Struthio camelus: one gene and its partners. The main gene of each other region encodes a partner of the protein of the gene in region 2 in a complex. Links are inferred from orthologs where the notes say so. Each region holds a gene or a part of one and is shown on either strand. Other genes may lie near its edges.

Region 1 (3,742 bases), on a different chromosome or scaffold from region 2:
GCCCCCCCATTATGAGTCCCCCCCGTTATGTGTCCCACGCCGTTATGGGTCCCCCCGTTATGGGTCCCCCCCCGTTGTGGGTCCCCCCGTTATGGGTCCCCCCGTTATGTGTCCCCCCGTTATGGGTCCCCCCGTTATGGGTCCCCCCCCGTTATGGGTCCCCCCATTATGGGTCCCCCCGTTATGGGTCCCCCCCCGTTATGTGTCCCACGCCGTTATGGGTCCCCCCGTTATGGGTCCCCCCCCATTATGTGTCCCCCCGTTATGGGTCCCCCCATTATGGGTCCCCCCGTTATGGGTCCCCCCCGTTATGTGTCCCCCCGTTATGTGTCCCCCCGTTATGTGTCCCCCCATTATGGGTCCCCCCGTTATGGGTCCCCCCCCGTTATGGGTCCCCCCGTTATGGGTCCCCCCGTTATGTGTCCCCCGTTATGTGTCCCCCCCCGTTATGGGTCCCCCCCCCCGTTATGGGTCCCCCCCATAGGTCCCCCCGTTTTCGGTTCCCCCACATCCGTTCCCCCTCCTTTTGGGTTCCCCCCCCCCCATTATGGGTTCCCCCCCCCCGCCTGGTTTTGCGCCTCTTTTCGCCTCCCTCCGCCGGCCGCAACTGCCCGCCGGCCCCTGCCGCTCGGCCCCGCCCCCTCATTTGCATGGGGGCGGGGCCGGAGCGCGGAGGGGGCGGAAGGGGCGGGGCCGGACGGGGCGGGGCCAGAACGCGGAGCGGGCCGGGGGCGGGGCCGGGGGCGGGGCCTTCCCGGCAGCGGGGGGTCACGTGGGGCGGCGGGGCCACTTCCGCGAATGGCGACGCGGTAGCGGCGGGGCCCGAAGCGGCGGCGGCGGCGGCGGCGGGACCGGACGGTCGCGCCCGGGCGCGGCGGCCCCGCCCACCCCCCTCTCGCCCCGCCCCCACCGGCACCGGGGACCCCCCCCACCCCCCTACCCCTCCCCCCACCCCTCCGCCCGGCCAAGATGGAGAACGGTGAGTGCCCCTCCCCCACCCCCTTCCGCCGGGGGGGGGGGGGCGGGTCGAGGCTCCCCGAAATCGGTGGTTCCCCCCCCCCGCCTCGCCGGTGACGTCAAGCCGCGGTGACGTCAGGGGATCCCCCCTACTCTCCCCCCGCTGGCGGCGGCGTCAGTAGGTTTCAGGGTTAACGCGCGCGGTGGGGGTGGGGGGGGGGTCCCCCCGTCACGTGACGCCGCGGCGTGCGCGCCCCTTCGGTGCGTTACGGTAGCGGCGGCGGCGGCGGCCTTCCCGCACTGCGCCTAATAGCGGCGCGGCGCGGCCGTAGAGCCTCGAAGAGAGGCGCAGCCGGTTTCGTCTCCGCTTTCCTTCCCTCCCTTCCCCCCCATGGCGCGGCAGCTGGTTGGGGGGGGGGCGGGAGGGGGCCCCGGCGTCCGGGCCGGGCTCCCCTCCCCCGCTGACACCCCCGCTCGTCTCTCCCTCCCCCCCCTCCCCCCCGCAGCCGATCTGCTGCCCTTCCTCCTGCAGCAGGACTGGGGCCTGCAGGGTGAGTGGGGGCCCAGGCGTCCGGGGTCGGGGGGGGGGGTCACTCGGACACCTGGGCCCCTTTTGGGGGGGGGTTACCCGGATGCCTGGGCCCCCTTGGGGGGGGGTCACCCGGACGCCTGGGCCCCTTTGGGGGGGGGGGTCACCCGGACACCTGGGCCCCTTTTGGGGAGGGTCACCCGGACACCTGGGCCCCTTTTGGGGGGGGGGGTCACCCGGACGCCTGGGCCCCTTTGGGGGGGTCACCTGGACACCGGTGCCCCTTTTGGGGGGGGTGTTGGGGTCACTCGGACACCTGGGCCCCTTTGGGGGAGGGGTCACCCGGATGCCTGGGCCCCTTTTGGGGGGGGGTCATCTGCACGCCTGGGCCCCTTTTGGGGGGGGGTCACCTGGACACCGGGGCCCCTTTTGGGGGGGGGTCACCCGGGCGCCTGGGCCCCTTTGGGGGGGGTCACTCAAACACCTGGGTCCCTTTTTTTGGGGGGGGGGTCACACGGCCACCTGGATCGCTTGGTGGGGGGGGGGCTCTCCCGGACGCCTGGGCCCCGTTGCAGAGCCGGGGGGGGTGGGGGGGGGCTCTCCCGGACGCCTGGGCCCCGTTGCAGAGCCGGGGGGGGTGGGGGCGGGGGGGCTCTCCCGGACGCCTGGGCCCCGTTGCAGAGCCGGGGGGGTGGGGGTGGGGGGGGCTCTCCCGGACGCCTGGGCCCCGTTGCAGAGCCGGGGGGGGGCGGGGGGGGTGGGGGTGGGGGGGCTCTCCCGGACGCCTGGGCCCCGTTGCAGAGCCGGGGGGGGGCGGGGGGGGTGGGGGTGGGGGGGCTCTCCCGGACGCCTGGGCCCCGTTGCAGAGCCGGGGGGGCGGGGGGGGTGGGGGTGGGGGGGGCTCTCCCGGACGCCTGGGCCCCGTTGCAGAGCCGGGGGGGGGCGGGGGGGGTGGGGGTGGGGGGGCTCTCCCGGACGCCTGGGCCCCGTTGCAGAGCCGGGGGGGCGGGGGGGGGGGCTCTCCCGGACGCCTGGGCCCCGTTGCAGAGCCGGGGGGGGGCGCCCCCTTCGTGGAGATCATCGAGCAGCCCAAGCAGCGGGGGATGCGCTTCCGCTACAAGTGCGAGGGCCGCTCGGCCGGCAGCATCCCCGGCGAGCACAGCAGCGACACCACCAAGACCCACCCCACCATCCGGGTGAGCCCCCAGTATAGACCAGTGCGCACCAGTATAGACCAGTGCGCACCAGTAACCCTCCAGCGCCCTCCCCGCGCCCCCCCTGGGCCCCCAGCCCCGGCGAGCACAGCAGCGACACCACCAAGACCCACCCCACCATCCGGGTGAGCCCCCAGTACAGACCAGTGCGCACCAGTATGCTCCCAGTAGCTCCTCCAGGGTCTCCCAGTAGCCCCCCAGCGGTTGGGGCTGGGGGCTTAGACTCCCCTGGACACTTGGGTCCCTCCCCGGACACCTGGGCCCCGCCGGACAGCTGAGCCCCCCTGTACACCTGAGTGCCACCCGGACGCCTGGGCCCCTTTCCGGACACCTGGGCCCCTCCCCGGACTCCTGGGCCCCCCTTCCCACCCACCGTAGCTGAGCGCGGAGGTTGGGCTCTGCCCGGACGCCTGGGTCCCTCTTAGCGGTTCTAACGCCCGGGTTGGGAACACGGGGGCAGAGGGGGGTTCCCGGACGCCTGGGCCCCTCCCCGGACGCCTGGGCCCTTGGCGCAGATCAACAACTACCGGGGCCCGGGGCGAGTGCGGGTGTCGCTGGTGACGAAGGAGGCGCCGCACCGGCCGCACCCCCACGAGCTGGTGGGCAAGGACTGCCGCGACGGCTACTACGAGGCCGAGCTGGCGCCCGAGCGCAACGTGCACAGGTGAGCCGGACGCCTGGGCCCCTTTGCGAGCCGGACGCCTGGGCCCCTTTGCGAGCTCGGATGCCTGGGCCCTTCGGGGGAGAGGGACGGAGAACGGGACGCGGCGGCCGCTCCGAGGCCGAGTTGGTGCTCGAGAGTGACGTCGCGCGGGTTGCCCGGACGCCTGGGCCCCTTCTCGGGTAGCCCGGGCGCCTGGGTCCCTTCTCGGGTAACCCGGATGCCTGGGCCCTTCAGGGTTTGGGGCGCGCGTTAAGTTAGGGACCGGACGCCTGGGCCTCTCTTGGGTAGCCTGGATGCCTGGGCCCCTTCTCGGGTAGCCCGGATGCCTGGGCCCTTTCTTGGGCAGCCCGGACGCCTGGGCCCTTCAGGGTTGGGGCA
Region 2 (2,771 bases):
GGCGCCGGGGGGTGTTTGCAGCCATGAGTAAAGCGGCGGGTGACGCTGATAAAACAGTTGGCCTCGGCCGGGCGCCGCCACCCTGCCCTTCCCGCACGGCTGCCGCACGCGCGGCGGGCAGCCCGGGGGGTGCAGCCGGCTTGGCCGCGCTGCCTCCCGGCGCAGTCAGCGCCCTGCGTGTGGGAACAGGCTTAATCAGCTCCAGAGCGAAACTGCAGCGTAACATGAAGCGCAGATCCTAATCTGGCCGGCGCGTTTCCAAGGGCAGCCAACACCTGGAGCGAGCCGGCGGGTTTTTTTTTTTTTTTTTTCCTAAAGTTAAAAAAAAAAGAATCATTTCCATCGCGTTTGGAAGAGATCGGCAAAGTCCGCGGCGAGCCGTTCGGCCGGCGGCGCCGCGGGGGGAATCGCAGCGAGGGGGGTGGAGGGGCCCCCGCTGGCCGGCCGGGAGCGGGCGAGAGGCCGAGCCGGGGGCGCCGGGCACCTCGCTCTGGGGGCCCGCCGAAGCCCCAAAACGCCCAGAGTCGTCCCCAAAAGTGCAGCCTCCCGTCGCTCTTCCTCGACCGTCCTGTTTCGAGTTATGGGGTGTTTTTTCGGTTGGGTCCGTCTGGCTGCTGGCAGCCGGCAGCCTGGTAGTTCAACGAAACGAGCTGATTTCACCTTAATTTGGGGGCGGCGGCGGGGGGGGGGGGGTGAGATGGGAGCCGGGAGCGCCGGCCGGGGCTCAGGCAAGCGGCTCAGCCCCGGCTCCGTTTCCCACCTGCCCGGCGAGCCGCGGCGATTCCCAGCCACCGGCGAAAACCGGCACTGATTCGTTGATAGGCTTTTGGGGTGGGCGGCGGGGGAGGAAGCCCCCCCCAACCCCTTTTCCACCCTCTCTGCCCCCCCGGCCCGTTTCCCGCGCCGGCCGGGCGGCGGGAGCCGAGCGCGCCCTGCAGCTCCTGCTGCCGCCCGGCAGCGCCCGGGTGCACCGTTCTGGGGCTTTTTCAAATTTAATTTAAAATTTTTTTTTAATTTGGTCCGCCGCCAGCGGTGGGCCCAGGGCCGGGCCGCCCCGGGGCGAGGGCCGGGCGCGGGGCCGCCCCGCTCGCCCCCCCCCCTTCCCCGGCGCCCCCTTTTTTGCCCGGCGGGGCGATGAATCACGGCAATTTTGCCTCGCAAGGGGCGGCGCGGCGGGGACGGGGACGGGGACGCGGGGAAGGAGGCTGCGCGCGGCCTCCTGGCTCCTCCCGCTCTTGCTCCAGGCTCCGACGCCCGGCCAAAAGCGAATCCCGGCGGCGGCGCTCGGCAGAGGCTCCGACGGCTCCCCAAGGCGACCGGCCCGCTCCTCGCCGCTCCGTCTCCCCCCGCGCCGCCGCTCGCCCGTCCACCCGCGTCCCCCCTTCCCCGCCGCCAGCCATGGCAAGAAACCACCAAGTGCAGAAAGCCAAGCTGGCCGAGCAGGCCGAGCGCTACGAGGACATGGCGGACTTCATGAAGGCCGTGGTGGAGCACGGGGACGAGCTGTCCAACGAGGAGCGCAACCTGCTCTCCGTGGCCTACAAGAACGTGGTGGGGTGCCAGCGCTCCGCCTGGAGGGTCATCTCCAGCATCGAGCACAAAACCGAGGAGGGCGACGACAAAGCGCAGCTGGTGAACGAGTACCGTGAGAAGGTGGAAAAGGAGCTGAAGAGCGTCTGCAACGTCGTCCTGGGCCTGCTGGACAAGTATCTCATCAAGAAGGCCAGCGACGCGGAGAGCAAGGTCTTCTACCTGAAGATGAAGGGAGACTACTTCCGCTACCTGGCCGAGGTGGCCACCGGGGATGACCGCAAGGAGACGATAGACAGTGCCCAGAAAGCCTACCAAGAGGCCATGGACATCAGCAAAAAGGAGATGCAGCCCACGAACCCCATCCGCCTGGGGCTGGCCCTCAACTTCTCCGTCTTCCACTACGAGATCGCCAACGCCCCCGAGCAGGCCATCTCGCTGGCCAAGACCACCTTCGACGAGGCCATGGGGGACCTGCACACGCTCAGCGAAGACTCCTACAAGGACAGCACCCTCATCATGCAGCTGCTCAGGGACAACCTCACGTTATGGACAGCCGAGTGCGCCGGCGAAGACGGCGGCGAGGCCGGCGAAGAGCCCAAGAACTGAGCGACCGCCCCGGGGAGCCGCCGCCGGCTCCCACCTCCTCCCTCCCCACCTTGTTCTCTGTTCTTCCGTCTTCTGCCTCTTTTTTTTTTTTTTTTTTTTTTTGGGGGGGGGTAAGGCATCTCGGCTCCCCGTCCCTCCTCCCCGGCAGCCCCCCCCCCCCCAAAACCGCCTCCCGCATCCCCCCGGCACCGCGTCCCGGGGCGGAGGGGGGAACAAGCGGCAGAGCGGGGCGGGATGCCCACGGGCTCCCGGCGGCTCCGGGGAGCGGGGGGGCGCGGGGCGGCCCTGTCCTTCGCTTGCTGGCGTGCCTTGCTCTGCGGCTTCCCCTTCGCAGCGGGAGGAGGTGACGGGCCGTGGGGGGGGGGGGGGGGCGAGGGGGGGGGCCGAAGCCTCGGTGCATCCCCAATAAAACTTCACCTGCACGCCTGCCTCTGTGCTCTGCGTCGTCGCTGCCCCCCGCCGGGCCCCGGGGCGAGGAGGAGGAGGAGGAGGAGGAGGAAGGACAAGTTGGAGCGGGGCAGGTTCCCACGCAGCCGGCACCCGGGGAAGTAAAGGGGCATCCCGGAGTGGGACGGCGGTGACGGGGGGGGGGGGACACCAGTGGTGGTGACCCCAGAGTGGGCTGCAGTGAT
Region 3 (3,742 bases), on a different chromosome or scaffold from region 2:
AGGGCATAATAATCCAGTATTCACTTAGCACAAATAAATGACAAGAGACATATCGAGGAATAGAGAATTGGTGATCAGAGCAGGAGTAGAGTTCTGACATCGTAATGAATGACAGGAAATCTAATTCATTTGCCTCGCTATTCCAAAGTTGTATTCTGCACTATAATCTATAGCCTATTAATATATACTATAGATATAGATATAGATAGATAGATAGATGCATGCAGTAACATAAACAGAAGAAGAGATTAGCCCTTAAAAATCTTATCTTTGTAAGGACAAATAGACTTCAGATTGTTAAGATGGTCTTCCCTAGGAAAATATTTACTGCCCCAAGTAATAAAGTCAAATACAAATGTAAGAAAATACAAAGGATGGTGGACAGGACATTGTGCTGAAAATTGACAGTATCTTGAGGTGAAAATGTGCAAATTTGCTGAACAAGTTCTAAACAGTGAAAAGATCATGTCTTTCCGTATTAGTGAGAGAGCTAGTCTTTCTTGTCCTGTTCAATACAATCCATTGTCAAATATCCACTGAACAAGAGAAAGATTTTCAGGTCTCCCCAGATGTTAGAGGGGGACATCTAGAAGTGCTGTGAGAAGGACATATCAACAGCCTCACCAAATACACCCTAATTAATACAAAACAAGGGAAAACACACCTGTTCATCAAGCCGAAGCAAGAGTTGTAGCACAGTTCTGTTGGCACATTACAGCCTCTAAGTTATCATGGTATTTATTTTTACGGCAGGGAAGCAAACTTTATGAGAAACGCTCTGTTTTAGCTGAGCAAAGCAGAGAAGTACAAAAGGACAGTCTGTGGCTCTGTCCACTAACTGTCCCTCTACAGTCTTGGGAAGTGGCACACTTAGGCTCAGCAACAAAGATGTGACAGCGATATCATTTTGCCAGTTTGACTGTGTGCCTGCAAAGCGGAGACACACTCTATGACCTGTTGGCACATCAGACTATCTAACTGCACAGAAAACTTCAGGAACGCATTGGGAATGCACAGGAGAGACCCAGCTATGGGACCACAGCTGTAGGGAACCCCTGCCACAGCCCTTGTCAATGTTAAAACAAAGTTTACAAAAGTGGGACTACACAGCTACATCAAGAGGTTTTGCAGCTGATTCATTTCCGATGCTCTCCGCATTTTTGTCCGCATCCAGCAGCTTTTTGCCTAAGTTTCCCTCGTGACTTTTAAGCGAAGGTGCATGCACAGTCGAAGGAGGTGCACAGCAACAGGGCCTTGTTTCCTTGCTGAGGAGGTTGTCATCATGCCTCTTCCCCCCTCCTCCTTGCCACCCCGGCCACAGCTTGCTGGTAGCCACCTGGCCAGTGACAATCCCTCCACCTGGCCAGTGTCATTCCTCCGCAGTCCCACCCAGGGGACACAGACTCCATCTCCAGGGGAGGAGGTGTGGGACACCTCCAAGTCCAACAAGTGCCCATGGAGAGCAGTGAATTGCATAACACAGTTCCCGTGGGGGGGGGGGGGGGGAATCAAGAGACTCATCTTGCACTTAACCTTTTGCACAGCCCCCTGCCCCTCTCCCTTGCTCCCAACCACAGGGGGCTCATGCCTCAGCCCCAGCAGGCCTCCCCGAGGTGAGACACTCACCAATGGTCGTGATGACCGTGATGGCAAAGTAGAAGGAGCCGGCGAATTTCCACTGGACACCAGCCCGGTGCGGCTCGGACTGCATGATCACCAACTCCAGCTGCCGGTAGTCCTCGGTGGTGATGTTGTACTTTCCTTTGAGCCGGATCTCCTCGGCTTTGAGTTTCTCCTCCTCCCGCATCTCGTTGTCGGACTCCAGGGCATCAAAGACGGCAGCCCCGACCAGCAGGTAGGTGAACGTGCAGATGATGAGGGACAGGGTCCGCACGTTCTGCCTCTTCATGGCCGCCAGCAAGGGGCGAGTGAGGGGACCATGTCCCCCCCTGGCCGCCCGGGGATCCGACAGGCCGCAGCAGCCGCAGCAGGGGGGCAGCTGCCGGGGGGGCCGGCGGCGCCCACCGCCGCTGCTCCGGGGCAGCTTGTGCTGCGGCGGCGGCTGCTCCCCGCCTGCCTGCTCGGGCTCCTGGGAGGAGGAGAGGCACAGGAGGCTGCTGGAGCGCCGGGACCAGGTACCCTGGAGCCGGGAAACTCTACGCAGGACTTGCCCAAACCAAGCCGTCCCGGTGCGCAGGGCCATCCAGGGCACGGCCGCTGCTCCCCAGCACCGCGGCCAGGGGCAGGGGGTGCCCGCCGCGCTCTCGCCGCGGGAAGGGGGCGCTGGGTGGCTCCCGGCCGAGGGGCAGGGGGGCCCCGGGCCGGAGTCCTGCGGCAGGCGGGTTCTGCCCCCCCACCTCCTCCTCCCAACACCCACCCACCCACCTCCCCCCCCCCCCCGCGCGAAGTCTGCGCGGCGGCGCGGGCGAGGGCTGCCGGAGGTCACAGGCAGGGCGCGGAGGGCAGCCGCAGACCGTCGCCGTCCCAAGTTTCTTCAGGCGGTGCCGCGGCAGCGGCGGGGAGCGGGCGGCGGCTGCGCGCCCATCGGCGGGCGGCGAGGCGAGGCGCAGCGGGTCCCCAGGGCCGCGGGGGGCCGGCCCCGGCTCCGGCTGCCTCGGCGAGCGCCGAGCCGGTCGGGTCGGGTCGGGTCGGGTCGGGCTAAGCGCTTGCCGGTGGGCGCCTCACTCCTTCCGCGGCGGTGCGCAGGGCAGGCGGGCTGCTGCAGGTGGCCGCGGCGCGGGTAGCGGAGCGGTGTCCGGCGCGGCGAGGACGGCGACGGTGTCAGGCGGCGGGCGGGGAGTTGGGGGCAACATCCCCGGGCGCGGCGGGGCCGGCGGGGCCCTGGCGGCGGCAGCAGCGGCAGCGGCGGGGAGCCGGCGCCCCGCAGGAGCCGCGGCGAGCGGGAGGAGCGGAGCGGAGCGGCTCGGAGCCGCCCCGGCTGGCGGGCGAGGAGGGAGGGCGGAGAGGAGGCGTCTGCCGGGCGGTCCGGGAGCGGCGGGGCACCTGCGCGGGGCAGGGCGGCGCCGCCGCCGCCGGGAGGAGCGGAGAAAGCGAGCGCTTTGCCGGGGGAAGAGAGCCGGGCCGGGAGAGAAGGGAGGGGGCTCGGCCCCGCACGGACACAAACCCCAAGAGGAAAGGTTGGGCGAGGTGGGGGGGAGGGAAAAAAAAAATAAGAAAGAAAGAAAAAAAAAAAAACCGCTACTTTCACGGCTGCTCCCCAGGCGCGCGGGGCTGGGCGCTGCTTTATTTTCGGAGGGTTTTAGAACAAAGCCGTTAAGAAAAAGAGCAACCGTCCTCCTCCTCCTCCTCCTCCTTCCCCCAAGCTCTTGACATCATCTCGGGGAAAAGCGAGCCCGCGCCCCTCAGCCATCGCCCGCACGCGTGTGCGTGTGTCTGCGCTCCGGCGGGGCGGGGGGGGGGGGCGGCTGGCCCCGGCCCGCCGCGGGCAGAGCCTTCACCCCGCCGGCGCCGCCCTGTCAGCGAAAGGCCGCGGGGCTCCCCCGGCGCGGCGCCTTCCCGGCCCCCCGAGCCTGGCCACGCCCCGGCGGGTGAAGCGGGGCCGGGCTGTGGCGGTGGTGGCGGTGGTGGTGGTGGTGGCGGCGGCGGGGCCGAGCTCGCTGCGGTGGCCCGGGGCTCGGCGCGGAGCGTTGTGGCGGTGGGAGGGCAGCGCGGGACGGGCCGGTGGCCGCGCCCGCTGCGGCCTGGCTGCCGCCGGCTGTGGCGGAGCGTTAACGGCCGGGAC

What was found.
Region 1: the proteins of SFN (region 2) and RELA are in contact, whole or in part, in a crystal structure (PDB 7O6I), measured with the Homo sapiens proteins. The link is inferred for Struthio camelus from reciprocal best matches to the Homo sapiens genes SFN and RELA. Residues at the interface, in NP_006133.1 of Homo sapiens: Glu14, Tyr19, Leu43, Ser45, Val46, Lys49, Asn50, Gly53, Gly54, Arg56, Lys122, Arg129, Tyr130, Gly171, Leu174, Asn175, Val178, Glu182, Ile219, Leu222, Asn226, Leu229, Trp230; in NP_068810.3 of Homo sapiens: Ala43, Gly44, Ser45, Ile46, Pro47, Gly48, Arg50, Ser51.
Region 3: the proteins of SFN (region 2) and KCNK9 are in contact, whole or in part, in a crystal structure (PDB 3P1P), measured with the Homo sapiens proteins. The link is inferred for Struthio camelus from reciprocal best matches to the Homo sapiens genes SFN and KCNK9. Residues at the interface, in NP_006133.1 of Homo sapiens: Lys49, Arg56, Arg60, Lys122, Asp126, Arg129, Tyr130, Glu133, Gly171, Leu174, Asn175, Val178, Glu182, Leu222, Asp225, Asn226, Leu229, Trp230; in NP_001269463.1 of Homo sapiens: Lys369, Arg370, Arg371, Lys372, Ser373, Val374.

The regions. Positions count from the first base shown.
Region 1 is NC_090976.1:907,065-910,806, reverse strand, and holds the start of RELA (transcription factor p65), read left to right. Parts: upstream 1-888; 5' UTR 889-969; coding exon 970-979; intron 980-1,463; coding exon 1,464-1,508; intron 1,509-2,533; coding exon 2,534-2,682; intron 2,683-3,215; coding exon 3,216-3,364; intron 3,365-3,742. UniProt on the Homo sapiens protein: NF-kappa-B is a pleiotropic transcription factor present in almost all cell types and is the endpoint of a series of signal transduction events that are initiated by a vast array of stimuli related to many biological processes such as inflammation, immunity, differentiation, cell growth, tumorigenesis and apoptosis.
Region 2 is NC_090964.1:6,831,638-6,834,408, reverse strand, and holds SFN (14-3-3 protein sigma), read left to right. Parts: upstream 1-1,220; 5' UTR 1,221-1,398; coding exon 1,399-2,139; 3' UTR 2,140-2,228; downstream 2,229-2,771. UniProt on the Homo sapiens protein: Adapter protein implicated in the regulation of a large spectrum of both general and specialized signaling pathways. Binds to a large number of partners, usually by recognition of a phosphoserine or phosphothreonine motif.
Region 3 is NC_090943.1:167,692,431-167,696,172, forward strand, and holds the start of KCNK9 (potassium channel subfamily K member 9), read right to left. Parts: upstream 2,291-3,742; 5' UTR 2,204-2,290; coding exon 1,627-2,203; intron 1-1,626. UniProt on the Homo sapiens protein: K(+) channel that conducts voltage-dependent outward rectifying currents upon membrane depolarization. Voltage sensing is coupled to K(+) electrochemical gradient in an 'ion flux gating' mode where outward but not inward ion flow opens the gate.